Lepisosteus oculatus: one gene and its partners. The protein of the gene in region 4 interacts with the protein of the main gene of each other region in a pairwise test. Links are inferred from orthologs where the notes say so. Each region holds a gene or a part of one and is shown on either strand. Other genes may lie near its edges.

Region 1 (7,540 bases), on a different chromosome or scaffold from region 4:
ATCTCCTGGCAGGGGTAGCGGCGGGGGGCAGCCCACTGGGGCCTCAGCTCCCTCGCGCACTTGGCGCTCACGGAGAACATGAGCCTTCTCACGGACTCGATGATGTCCGTGCAGAGCGGGGAGGCCTGGATGAGCGGGTCGTTGGCGATGAACTGGAAGAGGTAGGTCGGGTGGACGTGCCGCAGCCGCACCTTCTGGAACAGGTTGTGGATGGCGCCCTTCCGGGAGAAGGGGTCGTGGTGGATCCAGGCCAACAGGGTCTCGAAAACCTGCTCCTCTTCCGCGCACAGCCGGTCGTCTCCCAGGTAGCCCTCCAGCTCGGACAGGGAGAGCTCTCGGAAGTCCTCCGAGGCGGTCACGTCCGAGAAGCTGCACACCGCCACCTCCCTCGCCTTCGCTCTCAGGCTCTCGCAGTGCAGGATCTCCGACAGCCGGATCATGCTGAGGCAGTTGTCCGGGCTCAGCTGCTCTTGCAGGAATGCGGAGCAGGCGTCGAAAAGCCGGGGGTACTGCAGCATGGACGCTGCCTGCATCAGTGGCAGGACCAGCTCCATAGTGATGACAATGCAACCTGTGTAGACGTAGTCGATGATACTGCTCAGAACATCTGAAGCAATGCCCCTCATGCTTATCTTGGCCTGTTGGCTCTCTTTGAAATCGCCGCAAAACATGGCCCTAAAATAAGGGCTGCCAGAAACCAGAACAATTCTGTGGCAGGGAATTTCTCGGTCACCTGTACACAGAAGTACGTCAGTGAGGATCCTCTCTTGTCTTAAACCGTCCAGCTGTGAGAGAAGATTAGAAGGGTGCTCTTTATCCTTAAAATGAAATGCCTCTGGTATCACGTTTTCCATTCTGAGGAGGAAAAAAAAAGATAATTGCTTGTGTCACTTAAAGATAAGGGTCCCTTTGCTTATGTTTCAGAATTTCAGGCAGTTGGGTTTCATTTGCCTCAAATATTCTGTTTACTCAAAAAGAAAACCGACCTAAGGCTTACACAGAAGGAGTTGAAATATAATACATTCTTTTATGAGTTGAGGCCAAGTGAGTGTAATCACGGTGCTTTTGTATAACAACATCCATTAAGTGAAGGCACAAGCAGTGCAGTGTTAAATTTTAAATTTTATTTTGGCATTCATATTAAATGTCAGATTCATCATCATGACCTTGCTATTCCTTCCAAGGTCATCTGTTTCCAGGCCTCACACTGGCTTAGCGGTCTGTGAGTCTTTCCCAATTATTCAACTTTCATGCTGTCCTTGAGTGAACAATATCAACACTCTGCTGTCTAGTCCGTCTCTCCTAAATCATCTGAGCACATCTGTCTGACATTTGGCTCAATCACTTCACGTAAGCTGGCTAAATCCTGTTACTTCATGTCTCATCAGTTACTCAAGCCTTTATAAGTTTGTCCTTGAAAGGTCCAGTGTTAAAAGTGAGCATGTCACAGAACTGCTATCACCAGCAGTTTGCTTGTGCTTTATCCCTCTGGGACAGTAATGTAATACAAGACGGGACTAAAACAGTCTCATCTGTATTGTTATTTTTGTATATTCACTATTTTTATTAAAGATTAGCATTTGACTTTTCAGGGATCACTTAATGACGTAAATAAAAGAAGGCGTTAATAACAGGCAATGGTTGTTCCACTCCATTGTTAAACGTCAGGGATATCGTTATCAATTGTGAGAGTTTTATTCTCCTCCCATCTGGTAATAATCATTCCAAGAATTGCGGAATAATGTAACTGTCTGGTGGAGAGATCCAAGATGGCTTCCCTGAGCATGCTCAGTAGGTCTGCTGAAGCCACTTCTCTGGGATTGCATGGTGTTTGCTATTGTGATGATCAATTTAATAACTTCCGCACTAGAGCTAGCACACATGGATCGTTAACAGAAAAGTTCTATGTTAAAAGGGTTATTAGATAAATGGGGGATAATGCTTCTTACATTCTTATGTTCTTCATATTCTTCAAGTTATTTAGTTGCAGAAATGAAATGAAAATCATCACATTGTTTGTGCAGTCACACAAGCCCCGGAAATGAATAACAAGAACAACAAATAAATACAAACCCAGCATGGAATTAATGTGTGTAAAATAAGCAACTCCCTCCACCTACTGGTTGCAGTTCTAACCTGTACCTTCTCAGTTCCTGTAGCTTGTAAATTTTTGTGAATTAATCTTTAAGATTTCTTTCCTTTACACAGCCTAAAAAAGTCAAATATTGAGTTTTTAATTGTCTGTTGTTTTTATGACATTTACCTCATAAACACACATGCCAGTGAAGTTTTTAATATACAGTACTGTACACATGGGAGACTTGAAATATCCTGTGCTTTATATTGCATGGAAATAGCAGGGGAGCTCGAGTGTCGTTGCTACCAGATGTTCATTTTAGTTTAGTGATACTGCAGCTTACAGTAGCAGATGTAATTCTTCCTTGTTCATGTGTTCATGCTTTGTCTTTTATACAAAAACTGTGGGGAAAACTGAGCGTTGTTCTGCCCTAAAATGTTGGCTGTTTGGGGACGATGAGCGAAAGGAAGTTTATAGACATACACTCAAAGAGTTTCCTTACATGAATATCTTTACTACAGTATGATTTTTTTGTGCCTTAAAAGGAAGCAGTAGAATAATTGGGTAATGCAAACTTTAGGCATTTTTTTCAATTCTTATTTAAACACAAACCACAGAAGGAATCTGGAACCATCCTGAAGGCTGTCCAGACCAATTAACACAGCGCAACAGAGTTCATAGCTATTAATATTCATTATATAATTAGATTTCTCAACAAAGTAAATATACCTGCATTTGCCAATGGAAAAAAATAAATTAAGGAGTGAGTGGAAATTACTGATCAATTCCATGTTCTTACCTAGAAGCCTATCCTACTGCTGAACGTTTTTCGGCACTTGACTAGATATGAAGACACTTTGAGGGACATATTACAAAGCTTTTAGCAGAAAAAAATTGCGTCTGTCACCAACTAAAGGTCTAAAACAAAGCAGCTCCGAGTTTCGTTCAGCTATGCTTGCTCTACACCTCCGATTCGGAAGAGCTTCGTCAGCTTTTACCTGGATCGTCTCCTGGCCTCTCCTTCTCTTCAACACGTCCAGATCTGATTCCACTTGTGGAAAGTTCGTCGGACAAAAGGAAACCACCACCACCACAACAACAACAACAACAACAACCCCAAAAAACAAAACACCCAACCACCCTCACATTTTTATGTTAACGTCTGGAGCAGGCCATGCAGAGCGGCCGTGTTTATGAAGAAGGTGCCGCGATGTTTGTGATTAGGGGCCAGGCTCTTACCACGAGGCCACTGTATACATTCCGGCGCTAAGAATACCGCTGCGAGCGCGTGCCAGCGAGGTCACATGACCCCACCCCCTCTTGTTTTTGCGACTGGAACTCGTTGCTCCTCGACAGAAGCTTTCGGTCATGCTTGCCCGTGTTTACAGGGGTATAAACAGACACTCCAGTTATCCGAGGAGCTGGCCTGGGGCTTGGAAACTACGCGGCACTCCCCACCGGCTTTTGCAACTGGGGGGGGTGTGCAGACTGTCTGTAAACAGAGCCTAAAGTTCAGCGTGAGACGACTGGACAGCTGTGCCAGGCTTGACTGCCCTGGGTTACCTCTTCACAGGAGGCCGGGGGAGGAAGGGGGGGATCTCTGCTCGTTCAGCTGGTATTGCAGGGTAGTGTTCAGGAGGGTTGTGGGTTCAAGTCCCAGATGGGAAGCTGCTGTTGTACCCTTCAGTTAGTTGTTTCATGCTAGGAAAATACCCACCTGTTTAAATGGGCACCAATGTGAGTTGTTTTGGGACAAAACCAAAAGCCAAATACATTAATTATTGGACTAAACTGGAATATGGGAATAATGATGTGACAAAGATATTAAGACTCCAGATCCCCAGGGGCTATAGTCCTGCAGTTTTACTGATACTGTATGTTTTGTTATTTCACCCAGTTCTTATGCGTCTTTGCTTGACTATAACCTGTGTTTCTCTGGACTCCTAGTAAAAACGGCTTGTGAAGAGATTTCACCACATTCAATAAGAATGATTTATACTGTGCCAGTGATGCAGAAGGATATATCTGATAGGCTTCAGAGCATTTTAGATAGAGATTTCCGTCTAATTTTCATAAGTGTTCTTCACTGCAGTGTTTGCCACAGCTTGAGCATATCAACAAAATAGTCTTGCAGAACATAGAGAGAGAGAGCATTTCCCAGAAAAGCAGACGTGAAAAAACATAAAAATACCCTGTCAATCGATGAAAATGAATTATCGGGACATTTAGGACTATTTTAACTTCAATATATAAATCAATTATCAGAAAAATGTAAATGCCACCAGTAAAAGACTTTGCGAATTGTATAGCTGTACAGTTGATGTGTGATATTTATTCCCGTTAGCTTCAATCGAAATACTCTATTTGTATTTATTGTGGATACATACGCCCCCTGGCGTTTACCGTTTTTTTTTTTGGTTAAAGTCTAATCAATGAAGATTTGCTTTTTATTTTCATATTTCGGTACATAATATAAACGTTAATAATTACGAATCGGGGGGAGGAACTCAAAAAACGTATTTTATTTCAAATGCATGTATAGTTCCAAAATACTGAGGTATTCTTAAATAAAATCAAGCAGAATTTTAGTCACTTTTATTCAACGTAAACCTTACTTTCAGGACATAATCATATAAAGCCGTAATAACACACATGTGAAACGCAAACGCTAAGCTCTGTGAAGAAAACAGTTTTTCTTCTGAAAGTTGCTGGAGACAAACACCGCTCCACAGATTCACCTTTTTTGTTTTGCTACCATAGATATTCCCGACACGAGCCAAGAGGGCGGAAATGACGAAAGCAGCGGTGACGACCGTTTCCTTGTAAATATAATAAGGAAGTTCGATTAAAGAAAGAACAGCCTAAAATCGGGACGGGGTAAATATGGAACTTTAAGACAGTATTTGCTTTTAATTTTTAAAGCCGATGGGGGTTGAGTAATATTAGTGTTACCCAAACGCCCTCGCCGATTTACAAGCCTTGTGTTTTACTGAGACCATGAATACAGACGTGGAATTTCACATCAGGCAGAACTACCCGTGGAACAAACTGCCCACTAATGTCAAACAGGTACAGAATCTTTGACACTCCATCCATAGGAAGGGGAAGCGTGTGTGGGGGTTGATCCAGACAGTACGAAGATAAACTAAACGCGAGGTGCCCGCACTCGTTGAAAGAACTGTCTGCTTCGTGACTGAGTGATTTTGCTTTTCATGTGGAAAAAAAAACAACAACATTAACAGATTCGTTCAGGGTGACCCGTCGGATGTCATCCCTTGTCGCTCTTTGGTTTGCTTATGTTTTGAATCAGCGCGATGCATGGAGTCTTCATCCCAGATCCTTCCTGTTTGTCTGAAACGCGCATCGTTGCCTAATGTAATGTAATAGAGGGTTTAGCGGCGATTCAGAAGGATCAGTTTCGAAAGAACATGCGGTCTATTTGCTCCGTGTTTTCCGTTTCCAATTCCAAAACTAGATTTATAATCCATACCACAAAAAAGGATAACACCGTTCAGTTTAAAGGATGAAGTAAAGAAATGCTTAGGTTATCTTCAGACAGAAAACCTTTGCCTTAATCTTTGCGTCTCCTGAGATTTCTGGGAGTTGAGTGCCATTTAAAATACGTTTAAATCTTTAAAGAGGAATTTAATTATACAGCGCATTTACATCGTATTAGAATAGAACAGGCATCCATTTATTTTGGGCGAAGAAATGTGCTTTTTTATTTGTTACCTCCGCTTTATTATGGCGATACAAAAAAATAAGCCATTGAAAACAAGATCATATGACTTAAAGCGTCAAAAAGAAATGAGATAGAGGTCATCGCAAACGTTATTTAACCTTAAGCCTGAACACCTTGCTTTTCGACAGAGTAAATTATATAAGTTTCAATCTTAATTGAAGCATTTTAAAATAAGTTGCGACTTTGTTTGCGATAAACTATTTGTTCATAGATCTTCACCAGACCTTGAACACCCTACAGTACCTAGCCCGCAGACATTCTGCTAATGAGATAGCCCCTGATCAAACATGACGTTGTTGTCTCGTTCTTTAAATTACTTGTTCCTCGTTGTTCTCCACAGAGTCTCGGAAACTCACAGCGAGAGTATGAGAAACATGTCCTTCTTTACAGTATCCGGAACCAGTTGCGGTTCCGAAATAACTTAGGTAAGTTAACTCTATTAGTTTTGAATTTAAAGCTTAGTTTAACAAACAAATGTAATTTTGAGTTACACTACATTTTTACTGTTTGCTTTTAATCTGATTTAACGATAACATTAAATTATTTTAAATGATTTTATTTTAATTATTAAATTAAAATCATTGCATTATTTATTTATTAAATAAAATAATTGATTTTGAACACATCAACCAACGGAAGGTGCTGGATCAGCACTTGGCACCTTGGAAGACCTGAAATGTATCCATCTGCTCTGCAGTGGGTGTCTGTATATTTTTGTCTGTGTGACTATTGGTGCAGTGATCTGAGAGGAATCTACAGATTCTCCAGGAGTTTTCCAACTAGGTTATGTATTTATCTGTATAATTTCAAATATCGTCATGCATCTACTAGTGTCCCCTCATTGCTTCAGGCGATTCAAATGTGTTTCAAATATTTTCATACTGGAGTGCAATTTTTAAATCATTTAATGTACCAAAGTGGCTTTTTATTTTGGATCCTCTAGGCACTTGCTTTCCTTAAGAAAGGGCCAAATGGGTCATAAGCCAGGAGCTCAGCTTAAGCACCCTTTCAGCAGCTTGAGCAAACATTAGAGAAACAAAGCAAAGGCACCAGTAATGAACCTTAACAGCAGAACGATGAGACAAGAGGTTTCCCAAGAACAGGTTTAGAGGCCCTCTATTGTTGTCATTGCTTTCTGTGTTGAGAATGTATATTTTTCTATATTGTCTGGGTGATTAGACTGGATGTCTTTGCACTGGAGATCATAAGGACACTATACAAGATGCGCTCATTTCATTTAGGAAGAGCAGTTTGTCACAATCTCGCTTCGGGACGCAGTTGTCTGGCGAATGATTAAATCGGATGAAATGCTTTGGTGATCCTGACAAAGAAAGGTGTTTAATGTATGTATTTAATGTTTAATGTTTAATGTTAGTATTTAACGGGTTTATACAAATCCTTTGGGTAGCCACTGATGCTGCTGTTGCATGTTGCATACACCTTAAAAAAATGCCCTCCCCCTCTTTTATGCAGTGAGGCATGTGAAGAAAGATGAGCGCAAGTACTACGAAGAGCTCTTGAAGTACAGCCGTGAGCATCTCATGTTGTACCCTTACCATCTGTCTGACATCATGGTCAAGGGCCTGAGGGTTACTCCCTTCTCCTACTATATTGGAATAATGGAGGTAGGTCTGAAAGTGGGTGGGGCTTGGCAGTATTTTAAACAGTAGGGGTTTGGAATACATAACCTCTTCGAAGTGTATCCCCGCTGTATCTCCTCC
Region 2 (8,351 bases), on a different chromosome or scaffold from region 4:
CCTTGTGTGTGAGGAGTGTTTCTGGGGTCTGTATTAATCTCTCTGTGTAAGGAGTGTCTCTGGGGTCTGTTTTAATCTCTGTGTGTGAGAAGTGTCTCTGGGGTTTGTATTAATCTCTGTGTGTGAGGAGTGTCTCTGGGGTCTGTATGAGGGTCTGTATTAATCTCGGTGTGTGAGGAGTGTCTCTGGGGTCTGTATAAGGGTCTGTATTAATCTCTGTGTGTGAGGAGTGTCTCTGGGGTCTGTATTAATCTCTGTGTGTGAGGAGTGTCTCTGGGGTATTAATTCATCTCTGTGTGTGAGGAGTGTCTCTGGGGCTTTATTACTCTCTGTGTGTGAGGAGTGTCTCTGGGGTCTGTATTAATCTCTGTGTGTGAGGAGTGTCTCTAGGGTATTAATTCATCTCTCTGTGTGAGGAGTGTCTCTGGGGTCTGTATTAATCTCTGTGTGTGAGAAGTGACTCTGAGGTCTGTATTAGGGTCTGTATTAAAATCTCTGTGTGATGAGTGTCTCTGGGGTCTGTATGAGGGTCTGTATTAATATCTGTGTGTGAGGAGTGTCTCTGGGGTCTGTATTAATCTCTGTGTGTGAGGAGTGTCTCTGGGGTCTGTATTAATCTCTGTGTGAGGAATGTCTCTGGGGTCTGTATGAGGGTCTGTATTAATATCTGTGTGTGAGGTGTGTCTCTGGGCTCTGTATTAATCTGTGTGTGAGGAGTGACTCTGAGATCTGTATTAGGGTCTGTATTTATCCCTGTGTGTGAGGAGTGTCTCTGGGGTCTGTATCAATCTCTCTGTTTAAGGAGTGCTTCTGGGGTCTGTATTAATCTCTTTGTGTGAGAAGTGTCTCTGGGGTTTGTATTAATCTCTGTGTGTGAGGAGTTTCTCTGGGGTCTGTATAAGGGTCTGAATTAATCTCTGTGTGTGAGGAGTGTCTCTGGGGTCTGTATTAGGGTCTGTATTAATCTATGTGTGTAAGGAGTGTCTCTGGGGTATTAATTCATCTCTGTGTGTGAGGAGTGTCTCTGGGGCTTTATTAATCTCTGTGTGTGAGGAGTGTCTCTGGGGTCTGTATTAATCTCGGTGTGTGAGGAGTGTCTCTGGGGTATTAATTCATCACTGTGTGAGGAGTGTATCTGGGGTCTGTATTAATTTCTGTGTGTGAGAAGTGACTCTGAGGTCTGTATTAGGGTCTGTATTAAAATCTCTGTGTGAGAAGTGACTCTGAGGTCTGTATGAGGGTCTGTATTAAAATCTCTGTGTGAGAAGTGACTCTGAGGTCTGTATGAGGGTCTGTATTAATCTCTGTGTGTGAGGAGTGTCTCTGGGGTCTGTATTAATCTCTGTGTGTGATGAGTGTCTCTGGGGTCTGTATTAATCTCTGTGTGTGAGGAGTGTCTCTGGGGTCTGTATTAGGGTCTGTATTAATCTCTGTGTGTGAGGAGTGTCTCTGGGGTCTGTATTAGGGTCTGTATTAATCTCTGTGTGTGAGGAGTGTCTCTTGGGTCTGTATTAATCTCTGTGTGTGAGGAGTGTCTCTGGGGTCTGTATTAGTGTCTGTATTAATCACTGTGTGTGAAGAGTGTCTCTATGGTGTCGCAATCTCTCTGCCTCTTCAGGATGATTGTGGATCACTGCTCTTGCAAGCTTGCTCAGTGGCTGGGACGTCAGGAGTTTGTGGTGCCCCAGAATGTCCTCAGCCTGGTGTACGGGCAGACAGTGGTGTGGGCGGGTGCTCTCTTCTGCCCCCTGCTGCCACTCATCAACACTGTCAAATTCGTCATTTTCTTCTACTGCAAGAAGGTAGAGCTGTTCATCATCTCTTCTTCACTGGGACTGAGCTGTGTAACAGCTCTTATTGTAACAGACTGTTCTACTGTACTGGGACTGTAGCTCCTATTGTAACAGACTGTTCTACTCCACTGGGACTGTAGCTCCTATTGTAACAGACTGTTCTACTGTACTTGAACTGTAGCTCCTACTGTAACAGACTGTTCTACTGGGTCTGTACTGAGACACGGAGATACGTGCTGTACCAGGTCTGTACTGAGACACAGAGACAGTACTGTACTATAGTGTTCAGTCAGTCAGTGTCTCTGTGCTGTAGTGTCCAGTCAGTCAGTCAGTGTCTCTGTGCTGTAGTGTCCAGTCAGTGTCACTGTGCTGTAGTGTCCAGTCGGTCAGTCAGGGTCACTGTGCTGTAGTGTCCAGTCAGTCAGTCTCTGTCTCTCTGTCAGGTCACTCTGTTCCAGAACTGTCGTCCAGCCTCTCGGACTTTCCGCTCCTCCAGCTCCAACCTCTTCTTCCTGCTGGTGCTGCTGCTGGGACTGGTGCTGGCCTGCGTGCCCCTGGTGTTTGGCCTGGCCGCGTGAGTGACCCCCGTCCAAGGGCTGAAACTACAACACCCAGGTCCCTTCAGGGCCAAACACCCAGCCAGCAAAACACAGCACACTCTGCAGAGCACTATGGGGGCTGTAGTCCCCGGGCTCCAGTCTCCAGCCTCTATCTGGCTCCATCCCCCATAACCCTCTGGGCACCTGACCAGTGGCTGAGCCTCCCACTGCAGGGCCTCATGGGAACTGTAGTTCCTGGACTGGACTGCGCCTCGTGTTCCAGGGTCATCCCACACTATGAATAACTTAACTTCCCATAGTGCTTCGTGACAGTCTGGGTACATCGTGCTGAGAGACCCAGGAGGACAGCAGAGCTTTGTAACGCACCACCAGCAAAACAGAAACATGAGTAATAATAATGAAACAGTCAGTCAGTGTCTCTGTGCTGTGGTGCCCAGTCAGTCAGTCAGGGTCACTGTGCTGTAGTGTCCAGTCAGTCAGGGTCACTGTGCTGTAGTGTCCAGTCAGTCAGTCAGGGTCACTGTGCTGTAGTGTCCAGTCAGTCAGTCAGTGTCTCTGTGCTGTAGTGTCCAGTCAGTCAGTCAGGGTCACTGTGCTGTAGTGTCCAGTCAGTCAGTGTCACTGTGCTGTAGTGTCCAGTCAGTCAGTCAGTGTCTCTGTGCTGTAGTGTCCAGTCAGTCAGGGTCTCTGTGCTGTAGTGTCCAGTCAGTCAGTCAGTGTCTCTGTGCTGTAGTGTCCAGTCGGTCAGTTGTCTCTTCCCCTCTGGCAGGATCCACCCCTCCTGGGCCTGTGGTCCTTTCCGCTCTCTCCCTCAGATGTGGGCGGTGGTCTCTGTGTCGAACGCCTCTCTTCCTCCGTCTGCACAAGATTTCCTGCGGTTCCTGGGCTCTCAGGCGTTCGCTGTGCCTCTCTTCGTCGTTCTCTGGTGAGACGCCTGTTCACGTGTCCATCTGAGACTGTCTGTCCTGTCTCTCTCTCTCTCAGTGTGCTGTGGATCAGTGCTGTGTAACCTGTCTCTATCTGTCTCTCTCTCTCTGTGTGCTATGTGACCTGTCTCTCTCTCTCTCAGTGTGCTGTGTGACCTGTCTCTCTCTCAGTGTGCTGTGAATCAGTGCTGTGTGACCTGTCTCCCTCTCTCAGTGTGCTGTGTGACCTGTCTCTCTCTCAGTGTGCTGTGAATCAGTGCTGTGTGACCTGTCTCCCTCTCTCAGTGTGCTGTGTGACCTGTCTCTCTCTCTCAGTGTGCTGTGTGACCTGTCTCTCTCTCTCAGTGTGCTGTGTGACCTGTCTCTCTCTCTCAGTGTTGTGCTGTGTGACCTGTCTCTCTCTCTCAGTGTGCTGTGTGACCTGTCTCTCTCTTTCAGTGTGCTGTGTGACCTGTCTCTCTCTCTCTCTCTCAGTGTGGCGCTGTGTGACCTGTCTCTCTCTCTCAGTGTGGCGCTGTGTGACCTGTCTCACTCTCTCTCAGTGTGGCGCTGTGTGACCTGTCTCTCTCTCTCTCTCAGTGTGCTGTGTGACCTGTGTCTCTCTCTCTCTCTCTCTATCTCTCTCTCTCAGTGTGGCGCTGGGTGACCTGTCTCTCTCTCAGTGTGCTGTTTGACCTGTCTCTCTCTCTCTCAGTGTGGCGCTGTGCTATGTGGCGGCTCTGGCCTCAGTCTACGGACAGAGTGTCTCTCTGCTCCGCGCTCAGATGCAGCTGGTAAGTGTGAACCAGTCCGGAGGAGGGGCGTGTCAGGGGCTGCTGCTGACCTCTGACCTCCGACCCAGCTTGCCGACGCTGCTGTATCCCCGACTCCAGGAGTGAGCAAGCAGAGCAGCAGCGCTCGGTACACAAACACCCCAGTACCCCCAAACCCCCATGCGCATGCCCTGAGCTGCGCTCTGACCTCTGACCCTGTGGGTGTCGATGCTGCGCAGCCCAGCGAGACCCCCGCCGCACCCCAGTGTTACCCCACTGCTGGGGGTGTTTGGGGGTCCCGGCTGCTGAGGGGTCCTGTCTCACCAGGAGGGGAAGGACAAGCAGTTCCTGGTCAGACAGATCGCCGAGCTGGGCGGCCCCGGAGCAGTGCACGCTGGGCCGTCTGAAGGCGCCGCAGAGTGACCAGTGACCGGAGTGACCAGTGACCGGAGTGACCAGTGAGCAGAGTGACCAGCCCAGGCTGGATCTCCGGGCTTTGACAGCGTGTTTAACGACGGTGGATGGCGTGTGTTTCTAAAAGATTCTTCAGGAGATTAAAACGGTTTAGAGCTGTAACCTGGGTTTTGTTTGGCGTGTGGCTATAATTAAATGAATAATAATAATTATTATTATAATTATTATTATTTTTATGGTGAGCTCCCCAGGGATAACATGACAGAGCGGTAAGGATTCATAATAATAATAAAAAATCTCATCTCGCCGTTCGCGGTTTGGGCTCTGGATTCAGCGCAAATCGGGTTTGGGGCTCAATGTGTGCAACGTTACCGACTTTTACTGGGTTTTATTTTTCCAGCTGGAGGCGGTCGAAACCGAGAGAGGCGGAGCCCCCGGGTCGGCGCGGCTCCGAGCAGCGCAGCCTTTCACTGGCGCAGAGCTGAGCAGCTAAAACAAGACATGTTCCAGTCGAGGCCAAGTCGAGCGCTGCGTTTGTATCATTTACTAGATGTTGGAAATGCAAGCTTTTTTTGTATCTGTTTAGAAAAATACAAAATACGTATACACTGTATGCATTAAAAAAACGTACAGAATACAGAAGTTCTGGCGGAGCGTTTTGAGCGCAGTTTGGCTTTCAAGTGCAGGTAGGAAAGAGTTTCTGATCGGGAAAATAAAAGCGGAAATCCGTAAATATGCTTTTAAAACATCACTCCTGAATAAAATAATTAACATCTCCGGGGCGTTTAAAATCCCCGCGATCGGTTTGATTTCGATTTTGAATCGCAGTGCCTTACTCCCGAAATATTCTCCGATCTGCACGAATCGCCGGTTTCCTGTAAAACCGTGGTTTTCCGATGCACAGCGGCGCCTAATCCATCACCTGAGCTGAGCGAAAACCACACAGCCGCTTCTACGCGGATCTGTAGCTGCAAGCGCACAAAGCGATATGTAGCTGCGCTGTTGAGTGTGTTTTGCCTTGTTTTATTGAGAGAAACTTTGAAAGTGAGATATACGCACCTTGCAGCGGTGTCGGCGGCGGCTCCAATTGCAAAGCGGAACCCGACGGGGGGCGGGGTCAAGGGGGGGCGGGGTGTTGCCGCCGGACAGGCCTGGCCAATCGGGAGGCGAGCGCGGTTGTCGTAGACCAATCGGGAAAGGCGGAAGGTGGGGCTAAGGGGAGAGGCGCGGAACTGAGCGCTGCGTGACGGAGAAGACAACCAATCACAGGACAGAACCGGGGAGGGGAGGCGGTGCTCTTGACATAATGTCATCCAATCGAAGCCCCGCGGCACAAAAAACACGGAAATGCCGCCTAGAGGAAACCCACGTTCTTTAAACGCTTTGCGTCTTTCCCGACTAGAAGACCCTTGGCACTGCCGAGGTTTGTTCGGTAGGAGTGTATCCCATGTTTTAAATATGTGATTAGATCACTTTAAGACGTTGGTTAGGGTAAAAAGAAAGATTTCGTGTGCACCAAGGAAATAGGCGGACCCGCGCTACAGACCGACGGCGTCTCCACTGGCGACGAGTGATTGACGTCAACCTGAACCAATCGGAAGGAAGAGAAGCGAAGGCGGGACGAAGAGGTGTGGACCAATTGCAGCGCCTGATACGACAGGAAGTGCCTGTGGTTTCGGCGGACACTGCGTCACCGCTCCTGTGTTTACAACATGGAGGATTCCCTCGGTGAGCGGCTGATATGAATTTGTATCAAGTGTTTTGAGCTCATTCCGTGAGACTTACGAGCGGCCGGGACTCGCGGACTCGTGAGGGAGCAGGGAAGTGTGTGAGAAAACCTTTTATTGCGCTCAGATTGCGTTGGGGCTGTGAGAGCTGTGGTCTGACGTTGCGGCGATCCAGCCGTTCGCTGGGGCTCCGTGAAAGGTTCCTAGCCACTCTCCTGCTATTAAATCACCGGTTTGTTTCTGTTTCGAGTTCAGTGTTGTCTGCAGAAATGTTTTTGTATTGCGATTTCCCCATGCTGTTGGCAGGTGGGTAAACCCTCGTGTTCGTGTTCTCCGTGAATGAGCTGGAAGGGGCTCGTGTGCACCCGAGTGCTGCGGCGGACGCTGCCGCAGCTGGTTCTGCTTGTGAAGGAGATTAAAAGTCGCGGAATCATGAATATTCTGCCCAAGAAGAGCTGGCACGTGCGCAACAAGGACAACGTGGCCCGCGTGCGGCGGGACGAGGCGCGCGCCGCCGAGGAGGAGCAGGAGCTGCGCCGCAGGGTCGAGCGCGCGGAGCAGGAGGTAACCATGACAACAGCCGCCCCTCGCTGTAGGGGCCGGCCCGTCCCAGCATGCAGCGGGAGCCAGGCGGGGTATCATCATGGGGCAGGCACACGCATGCGCACACTCTCTCGTACTGACACACACACTCACCCCAGCTCGCACTGGGGACAGTCTTCCTAGAAACCAGTTTAACCCGGGTGTCTTTGTCTTGGGGGTGAGACCCACACAGACAGTGGGGACACATACAACCCAGTGCAGCGTCTCGTGGTCCGAACTGTCCTGTCCCCCAGTATAGTCGGGGGGCCTGCTGGTGGCGCCCCCTGCTGACAGCTCTGTGTCTCTCAGGCCCGGACGGAGCTCCTGAGGAGGAAGTCTCGAGCTGCGCTGCCCCAGGGCGAGGAGGGGCACGAAGGACAGGCGCCGCTGGTGGGGCACCTCGACCTCTTCCCCCCGGAGGAGGGGGCGGAGAAGCGAGGGAACGAGGAGTACCTGCGGGAGAAGAGGGAGGAGAAGGTGTGTCCGGCGCCGCGGCTCCGTCGGCCCGGTCCGAGCGCCCCGCCTCTGTCCCGGCCGCCAACCTGTCCGTCTTCCCGCAGGAGCGCCAGGAGCGCGCCATTGGCCTGCTGGTGTCGCTGGGCCCCGCCCCCGGCAGCGAGGCCACGCCCTGGTACCTGGAGAGGCGGGTGGGGGCGGAGCCGGGGGAGGAGCTGGGGGCGGGCCGGGGGGAGGGGGAGCGAGAGAAGAAGGACCGGAGGCTGAAGGCGGCGCTGGACCCCCTGAGAGACGTGGACCGAGCCCTGCAGACGAAGAGCAGGCGGGTGGAGAGGAAGAGGAGCAGGAAGAGGGAGCGAGAGCAGGAGGAGGGCGGGCAGAGGTAAGGGCTTATGCGTCAGGTTAGAATCGGCAGCTCCCACCGGAGTGAGAGTCAGGTGGACACAGTGAGGTGTACAACCTCTCCTTGCCATCACACAGCAGACCCGATTCCCAGTCCAGCCCAGCCCAGCGCCACGTTCTGAGACTCCGAACGAGGCAACAGGACTATTTTTTCTGTAACGCCAATGGATGTGTTTTGTTGCAGTAATGTGATAACTGGTCTGAGAAATGTCCAGTGTGCTGACCGCTGTGTCCCTCAGCTCTCTGGACAGGCTGCGGGAGGAGCGCGTGCGGAGGGAGGCGGAGGAGAGGCGCCGGGCTCGGGCCCTGCTGGCGAGCCGGGCCGAGGGGGAGCGGTCAGCGGCGCAGGAGCCGGACGAGAGGGACAGACCCTACAACAGCCAGTACTGTCCCCAGCTGGCTCGGCGGCCGCGGCGCAGGGACGGGGATCTGGGCCCCCTGTGAGGAGGGAGTCCAGTAACGCCCCCCTGCAGCCACAGAGCAGGGCTCCTGGGTGAAGACGAGAGGAGAACGGGGCACAGACCCCTGCAGCCACAGTTTCTTCCAGCTCTTCTTGGATTGGCCTCAGCCACCCACCACTCTTTGTGTAAAGACATTTCTTATCCTGCGCCCTGAATAAATTCCCTTTCAGGTTCCAGCTGTGAGTCTGTCGTTGTCACTCCTGGGTTAACGCTCCCTGTGGGAGGTGGGAGCTCCGGTCCTGGGGAGGGGTACCTCCTGTGGGTACAGCCCACTCCAG
Region 3 (7,244 bases), on a different chromosome or scaffold from region 4:
CGGTACAACCTCTACTCTGTCACACGCGCTTCACAGTACTGGTGTATTTCAGATTCCCTCGTGAACTGTTCATTTCTGCGGGCTGCCTGTGCTCCGTGCGTGTGTCAGACAGCTTGCGTATGTGTCCGTCACTTACCTGTAAGGTGTAATATCCAGCGTGGTTCGTGAGGATTCGGTATGTGTAAACCACTTTCTTCTTGCTGGACAGGAAACAAAAAGACAGAGTTTCAGCAGCGGGAACGTCTTCATGTGTGAGCTCGCCAGCACGCTGTGATAGCTCCCCAATCTATCCTCCTCAGACTGGCTTCACGATCAACAAATGTGCCATGTTTTCTAATAAAACATGTTCCAGATCCTGTCACCATTCATTCCCCACGACAGGGCTGGTTCCCAGTCCTGGTCCCAGTGCCCCACACACATCTGCTGGTTTTGTTCCAGTCGAGCCTTCAGCTCCACAATCAAGCCCTTCATTGACTTGCTAATAATCAGATGAATCAGATTTATCATCAGATTCATGTGAACTGTTTGCTCCCAGCTCTTAGACATGTTGGAACTTTAACCTTTGTATTTTGTAAGTGAAATAAAATCCCATATGTGTGACTCCAAACAAAGTGCAGATATTCAATTGAAGCAATTTCTTAGATCCAGTGAGGCTTCAATGATCCCATGAAGGTGGGTTGGAATGAAAACCAGCAGGTGTCACCAGGATCAGGACTGGGAACCACTGCTCTAAACAGTGCCACACGCCACAGTCATCGCAATTTAAGCACAAAAAGTGAGTTTCGAGATTCAGAAGTAAACTAATCAAACCTGGATGGCATGACGGCCACATAACACCTGCACACACTGCAGATCACAATCCCAAGATTTCCCTGGGCCTGGACGGGTCTTTGCTGGGGAGGATCTTTAATTAAAGCATTATCACTGTAACTAGAGAGCTTAGCAACACCAAGCAGAATTTCAAACCCCAGAAGGAATTGATCACCATTCGTGAAATGAACACAGCTTTGAAGCTGTGTAACGTCTTTCTTTAAATCACCTGATTTCTAGAAGAGCAACGCTGTGAAAATGACCCGTGACAAACAAAGCCAAGGTGTGAGTACAGAGCAGTTTCTCACAGCGTGCAACATGCTTGTTTTCAGTATAGAAGGAGCTCTCTCCCTGAGTGAGCTGCAGGGGCACAGGCTGTGCTCAATCTACCTTCCCCAGAGCTACTGAGGCCAAAATCCCAGCAGCCTGGATTCACGCTGTGCCAAACCAGAGCACTTGAAGATTACAAATCAAAATTTGCTCCCAGAAAAATGCTTTCACAAAAAGGGAAAAAGGGAAAGACATAGAACAGTGCAAACTACAAAACACGCATTCCACGGATGGAGGAAACAGGTGGACACAGAAGCTCTGAACATCTAGGAATGTTGGTGTCTGTCAGTCCTGATCTAGGGATTCTGTGTGTTTCAGATCAGGACCCAGCCTTCCTGGCAGGCTACAATGTTCATACATTACACCTCTTAAAAAACTTTTTTTCCCCCAAGAAGGACCTGAATAATGATACCTTCCTGTGTGATGTTGTGTTCACAAACTTGCAGTCAGAATTTATAGGAAAGAGATCAGCAATTTTGAAATTCTCTGTGCTTCTCGGTGCATCTTCATTCGGAAACATCTACAGTTAGCCATCTTTTTGGGCATTTTGGATTCATCAAGGTGATATAAAAATATATTGGAAGTTCTTGTCCATTAGTATTAGTATTTAGTATTACCTAAAACGTCATGAAAGACACAAAAAATAAAAGACGGATTTTCTCAAGAAGAGTGCTTTAGAAGTGTTTAGTGCTGAACCTGAGGAATGACAGAATAATCCAATCTTATTAAAGAGTGAATCTGCTCTGGCCCTGTTAATAGGGACTTTGTTGGGTACATTTTGTGTTCATACATAGTGTTTGAGAAAAAAAGAATACAATAATTAAGAAAAAATAATAGTGTAACGCTTACGGCCGACAGGTACTGTGTAAGAGCCGGCGTACCAGAGCAGGTGGCGTTACAATACCATTTGTATCTGTGCCTTTGTATCTGACTTTTAAACTTCTCAGATAACAAAGGAGCCTTCCAAAAGAATTTATTTAAAGATTTTATTCCATAGCACTGATTTTTTTCTTTTTAAAAAAGCTCTTCAGTACAAACATTCAGTTTGTAGGATGTCTGCGTGTTCTGTACATCAAGCGCAGGTACCGAACACTTGTTCCATAAAATCTCTCTACATCTCTCTGCTTCAATGCGAGTATATCCGTGATTTTTTTTATTCTGAAAATGTGGAACAAATCATTCAAGCCTACCAGCACTTCTTAAGTGGCTAATTGTAAATCAGAACGTAGGAACAGTCCGACTCTGACAGGTTTCTCCCCCGTCGCGGTGTGTACTTACAAGACACAGAGGCACAGAGCCCCCGAAATCGTTTCGCTGTCGCGGATCAGGAAGGCTCCGTCCTTGCCTTTCTTGGAGAGCAGTTCCTCGCAGGTCTGCCTGCTGATGCTCCCGTGATACACCGGGCAGTCCATCGCCCCGTACACCTGCATGCCAGCCGCGCTGCAGCGCTGCAAGTCGAACTGTGGCATCATCATTGTGCTAGTGCGCTTCTGGTCAGGGGTTTTCACACAGGAAGTCGCCCGTTTCAGCGCTCAGCAATAAGGGATAGGTTTGAGTTACTTTACCACAAGTCGCAGAGGCTGGACAGCTTTCATTTGTGAAACCGTGATGTTGTTTTTTTTTTTTTTTCTCTCTCTCTCTAGACAACAGAAACATAAGCACTCGTTATTTTCTGGTTCAAACGGAAGTTCCGACAATGATAGTTCAGATCTTGCTCTACATCTGGTCATGTAAGCTTCAATGAAAATAAAGGGTAATTAAGTACTAAAATTTAGGGAGCAGCATTTTAAGTAGGGGGTTTGGCTTGTTGAGAGTTAAATGTCCTTAGTATTAAAAGTATTTCACATACAGATGCAATTGTCTGAGTATTAGATGCAAAACTTCTGTCTCCTGCTTCGTTGCTTCAGTTTCCTGGGTTTGATTCTGGGGTTGTATGATTTACATTTAAAAGTTAATAATAAGGCGACAAAGCAATTCACTCAAGCTGCCTGGAAGCCATCACTGCGCCCCCTGCTGTCTGAAACCAGCCCGTACACCAGCCTAGTCTGGCCCGCTGCTGCAGTCCGCTATTCATGGGGAAACAGGGAAAGGCACAACAGTGGTCTGGCAAGATGTTATTGTCAAAGCAGTCAAAGGTTGTTGTTATTTTCCTAATCGTGACCTACAAGAGTCGTTGCTTCTTTTGTATAATGTACACTGCTTTAAAACAACAACAACATGTAGCTTCGATTCTGCGAGGCTTGACTCTGTATCTTTACATACGGATGTCACCAACTGCTGCGTTTTTTTTTTCTAAATGTCATCCAGCGGCTGCGAAGTGGCAGAACTGAATTTTTTTTTAATGTGGGGAAAAAAAGTTTCCAGAGCCCAGAGCGGCTCAGACGATGCCCCGGGGCTCCGCGGCTCCAGGTGTCCCTTTTGAAAATGACTTCAAGAAAGTTCACCTGAACACAAAAAAACGAACAGTGTCTTGCATTAAGGCAATTACAGGAACATTTAAACGCCATTAAGCTATAAAGACCTCACCATGAGGTTTTCCATCTAGACGTCTATGATTCAAGGGCGTGTTTACAAACAGCCCGCTGGGGAGTTTTTCCACAGTAAGAGAACCGGCGCCTTGAGATGGGTTTTAAAAGGCTGTGTTGCAAAAGGGCACAGAAAGAAAAGAAAAAAAACACAGCCTCTGAGTAATGAATCAAAGGGCGATGAAGCGGGACACGAATATCTTAGCCGCTGTTTTACCCCCAACAAGAGACAGTTAAAAGTCAAGGCTGTGTCGTACTTTCAGCGCTCTTCCGAGCACCGCACGCGTCCCTCGTGAGCGTGGGTCGCTCGGATCTGCGGTCCTCCTGCGCCATCTCCTGGTGAACATCAGGCAGGGCCACTGGGGAACTCCGTGTCTTCTTCCGATGACGGTCGTGTCCATGATGTACCTTTTTACGATCTTAGCCCGTAGCTCGAGCTACCGCGGTGGATACGTTTCACGTGCTCCAATATTGATCTGTTTTTTTTTTTGCTCTACAGGTGCCCACACAGCGGCGGTATTTAAGAAAGAAAACAGAAAAGTCATCTCTTCAGAAGAGTAAGTACCGCTCTCGCCGTGCATTACGGTTCTACTCTTAGACATCCTAACCTTGTTTGACACGGAGGAGCTCTCTAACCGGCCTCGGCGGTGTGTAGTGTCATCGCGTAAAGCAAAACGGTCCTGCAGAGGAGAGGTTTTTTTTTTTCCCAATGACGTCTGTGTGAGAGGGAGAGAGAAGGGAGGGATGATCTTGAGTTGTCTTAGACCCATAGGTTTTCTAAATTTGATCTAGGGGATAAGTAGTGTAATTTCGGACTAAGGAGATTAACGTGAGCAAAGCCCGTTTGCCCGGCTGCCGGTGATCCGAGTCCCGTGGAAGGCTGCCTTTGAGTGGAGCCCAGGTGAGGTGCCCCTCGCACCAGGGGAAATGAGTTCCCGGGGTGTCAGTCTCCCTGATCTAGCCTGGATATCGACGTAGTTACCACTACAGGTGTCAGTCATCTCTCCCAGACTGTTTGGCCATTTGGATGAGAAAAATGAAGATCGCGGATAAAGGCAGTGTCTGCTCTAACGCAGACTGGATGGGCTCCCTCTGTCCGGCTTTGTCCTCGATGCCTCTGAAGCACTTAGCGGTACCAGGTACGTACAGCGGGCGGACGTATCTGCCTTAGCCGAACTTCCCCGGCGTGGGGCTGGGCTGGCGGAGTTTTACCCTGCGATCTTTAGAGAGAGCGTTCAAGAAAACGATAACACCCGGAACCGCAGAAGGTCGAGCGATCAGGAGGTCAGACTGACTCACAGTCACTCCGTGTCTGCAGAGCGCACGTTTTGTGAGCGTCTTGACAGAAGTGCGCTTCAGGGAGTTAAAAAAGAGATATGCTTTTAATATAATGACCAAGGCCATTACATGCTCTCATATCATATCCTTTCGAATTCCCTTCACTGCTTTATTCCTTAAGCGTCACGGCGCGCAGTAGCGATACAGGAACACACTTCCAGGCTGTGATTGATCTCCGGACTGACTGTTTTTAATGATAATTAGTTGCATTCGTGCTGTTCTTCTGAACAAAGCGCTCGTCCGCCGCCGAAGCGCAGTGCCACACCGACTCCACAGACACAGCAGGCGAGGCGAAGATGTACCAAACAGCAAATTGCTTTGCCAGCTGCGCCACATCTTAATGGTGCCATATCTTGGCACCTGCCGAACAACAAGGCGTTCGGAGTCACCACGATGGAGCGATGGGTTTGGACGTGACCGCAGGGTCGTGAGAGTATTCAACAACTTACCCTGCCCTGTTGTTAGATTGGTTTCTTTTAAGAAACTGCAGGATCAGACCCGCAGATCAATTGATTACCGACTACCAAATGGTCTGAATGCGGCAAATAGCATAATCTCGTCTGTAGCCCTTCTCATATTGTTACATATATAAGACAGCCGGCACAAGGACTGAAAGTAAAACACGACCACGGGTTTCGATCAGGGCGCAGGTGTTTTCGCTGTGCTGTCCTGCTTGTGCTCTGCTGTCGTGATAAAAGCTGTCCCATGATCTGGGGCTGCTCACAGGCATGTGCAAGAGTTTTACAGTATCGTATCCGGTCACCTGCAAACAGACTCCGTCCAGAAGCTGACAAGGACTCGCGTGTCTCATAGAGATTCACACAGCCTCTCCTGCAGTCTCTTTTACTTTTATTCATTACGAGCCAGTGAAAATGTTACACTTTCTGTAGCGTACTTTCGTCCCCTGCGGGAAGATTAGGCTGTTTCTGGCAGAACGGTGCAGCTTTGCACATCTTTTCTAAGGTCCTGTGAGGTGGCCATGGATTGCAATATGTGTCTTCAGGACCTGGCGTGTGATTTGAGTGCACTGCAGTGGAGATGGGCAGGGCTGACGTACTGTACTGCCTGCACTTAAGGCCATTTCTGTTCTCCGTGCAATTAACCTAGATGCTCATGCGTGAGTGTGCCTGATTGTGGTCGTCCCAAAGGCTTGCTTCTTTTTATCCACAGTCTAAGATCTCTATTGACCTGAATTTGAATGGCTTTCATCACCGGATTGTTCTGTCCTATTTTTGGCCCGATTGTACAATGTACACTGCCGCACAGACACTTTTCTTAGAAAGTCCCATCGCGTCCTGTCGTTTCTCCACGGGTGTGAGCAGTAGGAGCACAGCTGTCTTCTTCCTGTGGCTTGTTTAAAGAGGATTTAAGATGTTAATCTTGCAGGGGGGAGATCTGTCTTGGTGCTGACCCCAATCTTTCAGCCTGTCTCTCCCCTTCCCCCTCTGCACAGCTGTTTTGTTACCTGTAACATGGAAGGTCATGAATCTGCCTCCACCTTGTGTTTTGCAGGGTGCACTACCTTCAAATTTTGTTTAATTTACAAAGGACTAAAACAGGTAATTGTTTTTTAAATCACCCCCTTCTTTCAGGGACACCCAACATAAGAAATGCATTATGCATTGTATCTTAACATATTTCAATAAATAATTGTTTGAGCCCAGTGCAGTTCTGCAGTTTTATTGAATGGCAAATGAGCAATTCTCATTAACATTGCTACACAGTGTCCCCATCTCCCCCGTGTGAGCTTCACTTATTTATGTGGTTGTAATTGCATTTTGAACTCCTGAATGATGGATGTGCTCTTCTGCTGTACTCCTCTGCTTAGGGGTTATTTGCTATGCATGGGTGCTTCAGCTGGTACTTGAGTCATGCATTATAAAAGTTTAATAAAGGCCTAGCAGACCAGTGCAAGACACACAGAATGCAGGGCACAGTCATTAAGAGTTGGTGAAGCAGTACGTTTCACATTTAAAGGTGATAGTGAGAAGTGCAAGGTAAAACAGACAGTACAGTGTCAGGGAAGGTTCCCGTGTTAAAGAGGACACCACACTCCTGAGCTTAACAGGACATCGCTGTTGTGTCCCACCTGTTCCTCTATTATTCCTTTATTTTGTACACAATGTCTCCTTTGCCATGAGAATTGAGGACCCATCATTGACACTCAGTGGGGTAATGTGAGTGAAGAAGCTGGATCAGGGGGATCACAGCAGCATCCCATCTGAAATACGGACCTGTGAG
Region 4 (8,113 bases):
CCTGAGAGTGTAGACATATGGTTACAGAGTGAGAGTGCAACTGTCAGGTTTTATCTTTAACGTTTTTGAAAACTTTGGTGCAGCATCTTAATCCAGAAATATCAACATGAAGGGTATGTTTAAGGCACGACATTTCACTGGGCTGAGTAGACTTCAGTACTGATGTCTTTTTCATTAAAAAAAATGAAAATATGATATATAAGTATATAACATGTTTGTGTAAGGTGTCTGTGACATGCTAATTATGAACAGATCTCACATTGTCACTTACTATTATAAATTAGGGTGACTAATGTTCTAAATCAAGCATTATGCCATGTCTTATCAATGTAATAATGTAAATCAAATGACATGTTAAATATAAAACAAAATGCCTCTATGGTCATCTGAGCATGGTCATATGGGTTCTTCTTTCCTGGCACAATTTTATATTTTATAGGTAAAATAAGTTGAAGACAAACCTAAAAGAAAGATAATGCCTATAAAGCTAACACATCAACACAAATTGTTTTGTGTTTTTTCAAATTTGTAACAGACTAGTCGATGAGTCAAGGTCTTGTACAATCCAAAGATTCCATCACTTGACCCCTGAAACACAGACCTATCCTTGAGACATAGCACATTGGGAAGTAATGCTGGTTTGTGTATAACCCTCCACAGGACAACCTGCTATCCTGTAATAGCTAAATTACAAAAATTATTGCACTGAACCTTTGATTAGAATATACCCACTTAGTATTGAAATACCTCTGGTCTCTTCCGAGCTCAAAAATAACTAGGTTTTCAATTTTCAAACAGGAGGAGTTTCGGTCTGTTTGAATGTGAAAGTCACTCACAGTGTCAAGTTTCTTCATCTCAGGGGGTGACAGTAAGCATTATGGAAGACCCTACATCTGATGTACGAAGCTGGTCTTGTTGGAAAACCTGGACCAGCTGTTCATCTTTTAACTTGCTATTTGAGTTACCTTGCTTAGACATCTTTCACAAAGGTCACTGCTAAACTCCCACTCCCAGGAAAGAAGTTATGTATATGTGGGTGTAGATTGTCAGCATCGATTTTCTGTGCCTAGCCCACTACAGCTACTTAATTCATTCCAGTTTACAGTTCTGCCATAGTGATACTGGGTTATTGTAGGCCAACTAATCCCTCCAACTGCCCTGTAAGTCTTCACCCTGCATAATTCGGCAGACAGACTGGAGCCAATCAACAGGTGGCATATGCAAACTATTATTTAACCTTAGTTATTAGCCTCTATTTGCTAGATGGTAAAGATGTTCAATGGCGAGGTAAATATCCATATTGGTATAACTATCACACAACCCTATTATCACAAATCTTCACAGAAAATAATTAGAAAAAAATCTATGAAATACAGTAAATCTATATGAAATTGCACAGGAATTAGAAGAATTAGTAAACAAAAGTGAGAAGTATAATGTTATTCTGATCTGCTTTAACTCAAAATTTTAAAATACATATATTTGATAACAAAATTATTACATCTAATACTGTTGTCACGCCTATTAAAAATAGAGGTAAGCTGACTCTATAAAATAGAATAATATAATAATTTGCCAGTTTTGCAGCTGTGACAACACCCCCTGTGTAAACTGTTGCTCGGCATTAAATGTGCTGTTGTACCTAACACAGATTCACATTAAGTATGTTGAGCCCTACTACTGCCAGTGCGGCACCATTCAATAAACTCTTGTGAAGACAAAGACAAATTTCCTTATACTGTAGGTAAGATATATGTTCTAGGCATGTTAAAGCAATTTATGAAAAGGTGCATTCTCAAATGATGCTATGTAAATAATGTACATATTGATTTATAATAGCAAATTGATAGGTGAAAGGAAATGAACACTCTGAAATACCCACAAAAGCACTACACAGCCCTTAGAATAAAATAGTTTAGTGATCTGAAAGGAAGGCGGAAACATGATGTGAGGCCTGACAGTAATTTGTGTTCAAGAACATCTTGAGTGTTCCTTTCTGTTCTAGACTTTGAAAGTAGTCTTACCAAAAACTATATCATGAGGGAAACCAAGAACCCAGCAGGTATCTAAACTTTGTGAGACAACATACACAAATAAAAGGAAAGACTCGACCATGAACTGCTACCATGAGGCATGCAAATGGAAATGAAGTATTTATCATTCTGGAGTGCTGAAGGAAACTGAAAAAAGACCATCTTAGTTCAACCTTTAATCTCCAATAGGACAAAAAGGTTGCAAAAAAATCAGATAAGCTAGTTCAAACAGTGTATTGTGCTCTAACCCGAATTTCCTTTTCTGTATTTTGTTTGTTGAACTTCAGCCTCCTCGGCTCTTAAGTTATCATACGGGAGACTGTGTTGACAGTATGTTTACATTCTTCACAGACAGTTTGTCCTCCCGTCATCCACTGAGCCAAAAATACAAAACCCAGCTCTCTCAACTCCTTCTGTGATAGAAAATACAGATGATTTGTGCGATACTGTCAAATAAAAGTTCAACTGAAGCCCAAGAGACCTCAAAGAGGTCAAGGGAAGCTTGTCTTTACCATCATTTTGGCACCCACTGTCTTTAATACTATTACATTATGTTGAAAATCCTAAGTCACTTACACAAAAAAAAAGAAACCCTTACCTGGAAGACATCATTTGCACACTTCCTACACAGGTTGTGCTGGCAGGGCAGTATCACCACAGGTTTGGTGAACATTTCCAAGCAGATGGGGCAAATCAATTGCTTCTCCAAGCTGTCCATTGTGTTCGAGTCCCCCAGCAATGGTTTGTAGCCCAGCGCAAAGTTCATCCCCTCAAGAGTGCACGGCCAACTCTCTGAAAATCGTTAAATGTAACTATCGACCACTTCCCTCCTATTTCTTTCTTGCCCTCAGTCTTCTGCTCTGTTCCTCAACGATGCCTTCAACAGAATGGTTCTGTTATTTTAGCAACACTTTGTTCTGGCTAGAGTTACTTTTTCTCTAAACCTCACACTACACAGGGACTGGGATGTCCCCTCTGGCCAATGGCACTCAGATGTGGGGGAGAACAGCATTCCTTGTTCCATTTTTAACTTCTGAAATGTGATAAGGGGAATGACTGACAGACCATTTGTCAGGCCTGGATCAGATGTTTCTCAGTCACGGAGCCATGAGGGACTGCTGGAAATGCCAGCACCAACGACATGGAGTATTTAAACCGTAAACACTGGGAGGAAGACAAGAGGACATGATCAGAGATGCCAAATGAAACCTTGGCCTTTAACAATTCAATCACCTTGTTCTCTGCAACAAATCTCTGCAGTATTGTATTTCAGTACGTAATTAAAAACTATATTTCACAGCTTCTTCCCAGCAGTCAAAAACATTTCTACTTTAAAGCTGACCTTAGAAGCTTTGGCTGTGGTTATAATCTTATCATGGTTTTCAGCTCAGCCCTGAGAATTGAACAAAATATAAACAAGTCAGTGCAAGATGACAGCCTTTATGCTGTTGAGTGATTTAACAAGTTTACAAAAGGTGGATTATAACAGAAAATATTATCCCTCCAACCCCCTTTTAATTAAAAAAAACTAGTAAAACATTGCATTGCTTATTGGAAATTAAAACATTTACAAGTGACAATTCCAAAAAATATCTCCAAGACGTCACAGAAATGTCTTTATCCATTTTTCATTTCAGATTACGTACGGTCACATGTCCAAGACTTGTTATATTTATCTTCAAATTTTGACCTTGCAAATCATTTTAAAATGGTAATTAATACAATCGTTATGACTCCAAAATTAATGACTCATCATTTGCCAGATCTTATGGAACACAGCCAATCCGATTTGGAACAACTCCGTCTTCACACCCAGCAGATCCTAACGTCATTTGAGTCTTTCATCAGAATTGCAATTTTCAAAGCTCTCACTTTGAGGTGTACAACTGATGACTAACAGTCATTATTAATAGAGATGTTGTCTCTTTCTGTGTGTGGAGAGGGACTATTACTAAAACTACACTCCAAGAGTTTCAACTCCGAAAGGAAGATTAAGAAAAATTCAATCAAAAGAGAGAAAATCTTATTACCGTACTACTACTTAGCCTCCTGAAAGCAGAACTCTGAAGACACCCACTAAGTAACGAAAGAAAAAATGAGCCACACCAAACTTGATATAAACCCCACCTCCCCTCCCTTTATTTGGTGGTATAAATATACATGTTTGCAAGTCAGGTCTGTATAAGGACATTTGGAACAATAAGAAAAAGAAAAATAAGGGAACAATAATCAGCGAGACCAAAAAAAACAAGTATTTTACACAACATTTGTGAAGAAACCTAAAACAAACAGACTTCTCTGCCAGCATAACCAACATTACCATAGATACTCCTTATTTCTTAAGCCTCAAACAACAATTCCAATTTTTTGGCTACTGTCAGCTCTCCAAAACTGCCAATAAACATAATACATTCATTAAAATTAAACTTTATATATAAACTAAAAAGTAAACATTAAAATGGAAAGAATTCTTAAAATATCTGCCTTGACATCTTGTGGAGATGAATCTGTCATTTTCTAACTTAATTATTGGTAGTTAAGATTGCTAGTTGCCAGTACAAAACCGTGATTTCCACAAAAATATTGATTGATTGCTGACTGTTAATTGTATGATTTATTTGCAAACAGATTGCCATAACCTCCGTTACATAGATTTAAACAGAAACATTGTTAAATTTCAAAATTGAATAAAGCTAACTAGTGCTTGAACCTCGGTCCCAACTGTAAATACTGTACTTAAAGCAAAACCTTCTAAGCCACCAGTGAAATTATCTATTTTACTTTTTTAAACAGTTGTACACGACCATATTAAAAATTTGTTAACTAGAATGAACCTTTTCCCGAGAAAGAGGCCCAAGACTAACATCTAGTGCAGCTGGTATTTTAATATTTATTTTTGACAGCAGTCCCTGCCTTTAAACATAGTTTAAGATGGTGCATTTTTAAAACGGATTTCAGGAGAAGAAATCTGTGAATTATGAGATAAGTGGATTTTGCACTTTGTGGTTTTACAAGTTATTTAATTGATGCACTCATTCTGTTAACACTGATACTTCTGTATTTCACTAAAGTGCTGCATCATCAGTCACAAATCAATAACAAAATCTAATGACACAAAACCAATTGGCATTTTACTATAAATGAAAAAAGTATAAATGCTGTTATTTACAGGTTTCAAGGTGGGTAGTCAATTCAAAATTAAATTACGAAATCAGGGCACTTTATTATTGCCATTTTCAACTGTGCTCTGTGGCACAATATAAAGTGGCCTTATAGACTAGATACATGTATACTAAATTGCTTATTTGGGATAAGTTAGATGATGGAAACACATTTAAAACAAAAAAAATCAAAATGACCAACATTTAAAATCTAGGTTTCCTAATCCATGATCATCACTAAATAAAACCATGAAATAGTTTTGGGGACAGATGATGGGCAAACCACAGAATTAGAGAAACCACATTGCACCACACAACATACAGCTGAAAAATACAAAAAGACAGCCAACAACAGTATTTGGCAAACATTCAGTTTGTTAAAAATGCTGCAATGACACCAAAACCCAGAAATTTACTGAATGTGCTCAGCTCCCCAAAGTACAAAAAAAGTAATGGAAAACTATACTTATTAAATATCCAAACTATGAATAAGCTGGAGGACTTAGAAGGATTTGCACACAGTCTTGTGTTTAGAGTTCAAGCAATAAAAATGTCTAGCACTGAAAAATAGTTATCTACCTCGCTCATCTCATACTCACAATAGTTTAAGGACAGAGACAAAAACATTTAGACCATTTATGTGAAGAAAATGGCCTTCTTGTTACAACAGTAGACCAGTGTTAAATTATCAGCAAGTAGCACAGAAAGCAAAAAAAACATACATTTGGCATAGCAGTCTTTTATGCTGCATATATTGTCCGAGTGAAGCTTCCTGACTACACAGCATTACTTTAAAGAAAAGTACAAAAGGCTTGAAACTCTTTTGATTGATCCAGAATCCAGAAACAAAGTTCCTTCAGTAGCAGCACTCCAAGAGGTTGTGGACATAAAGTGGTCAGCACACATAACCCCGTCCTGCAGATGACTATGAGCTTGGCGTGACTCATATCTAACATACCAAAATCTTCCTTCTTGCTAGTCAAAGGCTAATGGAGCCTGAGGCCACTCTGTCGCCTCTGTACAGCACCAATACCAGAGCCCAGAAAGCCATCCTCTCAGTCACTCCAAAAACTACACTTTCCACAGCTACTACACAAAGGCTGACTATCCACCCAATACAACTAATTAGAAACAATGTAAATACACATTCCAGCACATCGCTGGTAATCCTTTCCATTAATTATGATGCCTTTTTGGTTTCCAAAAAAAAGGCCCTGTAGATTTTCATTTTGGTAGAAAAGAACCCAGAACCATTTCTTTAGGACTCTGAAATCTCACAAAAAAAATCTATTTTAATTTTATCCAATTTCCATTAAAATCAAGTACTTTAATCCTACACGGAGGGCCTGACAGGTACGAGATCTCTGTACCAGAAGCAGGAGGCCGTTTTATAATGCTCTCTTCACTCAGGAACTGGCACAGATCTCGGTGTCTTAAACCAAGGTGGTTATTTGATCAAAAACTACAATTATGTTTTGATTTTGGTCAAGCATTTATATTTTAGCATAGCACCTACATATACCTTTCGGTTTTGGGCTACAAAATGTAATGAACGGTCAAAGTAGAATTAAAGTGCTACTTTTTTCATTTAAAAAAAAGGTTGACTGGGTGATTTCTGCTTTTTATTAGGAAAAAAAAAGCAACACAACCTTGAGCTTGTAAACACTTAAACCCTCTTAAGTGAGACTCCAGAGAACTACAGACACGGCAAAGATTCTTGTTACATGGCACAAGGTCAAAACGTACAACAGAGGACATGCATCAGGTACATGCACTTAAGACACGAGCACATCCACCTATCCATGCAACAGTATCAGGATGGCACTTGGACAAAGTTTTGACCTGATAAACTGAAACTCTTTCACATCTTGACTGGGCTGTTTTGGTACAGTAGTAATTCGCTTTCCAATACCAGAGCAACATTACACTTTGATGGTGGCAATAATTGTTCCCCAACACATTTTTTTTTCTTTGTCAAGAGTGCCACATTATGCTTCATATCACATGCCATTAACTTTCCTAACCATAAACGTGTGGGAAATCACATAGGTATTGGCATCTGCGAACGTCAAGGTAGGAAGTCTTTCGAAGGGCTGGTGCTGCTAGTTAGTTCTCGGTCACGTAGCTGAGCTTTTGGCCTGTGGAAAGCTGGGTGGACTCTGAAGTGCAGATTGTGGAATGTGGCTGAATCACAATTGGAGGTCTTGTATCTGAAAAGAAAGACAAGTTTAGATGGCATATTTCACCATCTGAGCAAAGACGGACAGCTCTCAACTACACTCCTATCTTTCGCAACAATCATGTCTGTCTTCCACAGTTCTGTCCAAAATTGCTTTTTATCCTTGATATTGATATGAGGTTTTCAGCTTACAGAATACAGTTGAAGTAAGGATTTAACAAATCACTATGACTAGAAATCACTCCAAACCTTCCTTCTAAATCGTGTTGATTTAACACAGGCTGAAAAGGGATGACTCATCTTGACCAAGTTCAACCCAAATAATTCACTTTGAACCAGTGGAACAGCAGAGGAAACAAGGATGCAAATCAAATCAGTTGCATCAAAAACATGTACTTCACTGTCATTTTCTACTGAAAAAGCTTGCTTCAGAACACATAAGCACTGAGGAGCAAACCTACCTCCCCTGAAACAGCTCACCCATGTGTTCACTTGAGTCCTTTCCAGGGAAGCACGGAATAAAATGAGAAGAGTATATTTCATGACACTATTTTGAAAACCCCATTTCAAAACTAAAGTCCAGTGCTCCTACAAACCAAGGTACGGTTAAAGATGAACACTGCCTTTATCTTTCCTCAAGCAAAAGAGGTTTACAATGGAAACCTTTTAAAAGAAGGTGGTTGATACAGTATAGCAATGTTACAACATGGTATTTTCTCTCTCATATTCAGCAAAGACAG

The links.
Region 1: the proteins of trim54 (region 4) and klhl38a interact in binary tests that used the Homo sapiens proteins (3 or more experiments, as listed by UniProt). The two-hybrid records come from large-scale screens. The link is inferred for Lepisosteus oculatus from reciprocal best matches to the Homo sapiens genes TRIM54 and KLHL38.
Region 2: the proteins of trim54 (region 4) and leng1 interact in binary tests that used the Homo sapiens proteins (3 or more experiments, as listed by UniProt). The two-hybrid records come from large-scale screens. The link is inferred for Lepisosteus oculatus from reciprocal best matches to the Homo sapiens genes TRIM54 and LENG1.
Region 3: the proteins of trim54 (region 4) and SH2 domain-containing protein 1B2 interact in binary tests that used the Homo sapiens proteins (3 or more experiments, as listed by UniProt). The two-hybrid records come from large-scale screens. The link is inferred for Lepisosteus oculatus from reciprocal best matches to the Homo sapiens genes TRIM54 and SH2D1B.

Annotation. Positions count from the first base shown.
Region 1 is NC_090705.1:7,784,188-7,791,727, reverse strand, and holds the start of klhl38a (kelch-like protein 38), read right to left. Parts: upstream 3,309-7,540; 5' UTR 3,076-3,308; intron 856-3,075; 5' UTR 855-855; coding exon 1-854. Other genes in the region: protein FAM91A1, read left to right, coding at 5,075-5,146, 6,160-6,244, 7,293-7,444.
Region 2 is NC_090718.1:656,526-664,876, forward strand, and holds leng1 (leukocyte receptor cluster member 1), read left to right. Parts: upstream 1-5,043; 5' UTR 5,044-5,131; intron 5,132-5,155; exon of another isoform or gene 5,156-6,173; intron 6,174-6,478; 5' UTR 6,479-6,511; coding exon 6,512-6,736; intron 6,737-7,063; coding exon 7,064-7,231; intron 7,232-7,314; coding exon 7,315-7,592; intron 7,593-7,851; coding exon 7,852-8,056; 3' UTR 8,057-8,249; downstream 8,250-8,351. Other genes in the region: tmc4 (transmembrane channel-like protein 7), read left to right, coding at 1,619-1,802, 2,237-2,367, 3,123-3,278, 3,974-4,052, 4,359-4,454.
Region 3 is NC_090700.1:5,125,545-5,132,788, forward strand, and holds the start of SH2 domain-containing protein 1B2, read right to left. Parts: upstream 3,309-7,244; 5' UTR 2,616-3,308; coding exon 2,419-2,615; intron 201-2,418; coding exon 137-200; intron 1-136. Other genes in the region: plcxd2 (PI-PLC X domain-containing protein 2), read left to right, coding at 4,693-4,804. UniProt on the Homo sapiens protein: Cytoplasmic adapter regulating receptors of the signaling lymphocytic activation molecule (SLAM) family such as CD84, SLAMF1, LY9 and CD244. In SLAM signaling seems to cooperate with SH2D1A/SAP.
Region 4 is NC_090697.1:57,978,704-57,986,816, forward strand, and holds the start of trim54 (tripartite motif-containing protein 54), read right to left. Parts: upstream 3,041-8,113; 5' UTR 2,800-3,040; coding exon 2,632-2,799; intron 1-2,631. Other genes in the region: dnajc5ga (dnaJ (Hsp40) homolog, subfamily C, member 5 gamma a), read right to left, coding at 7,301-7,404. UniProt on the Homo sapiens protein: May bind and stabilize microtubules during myotubes formation.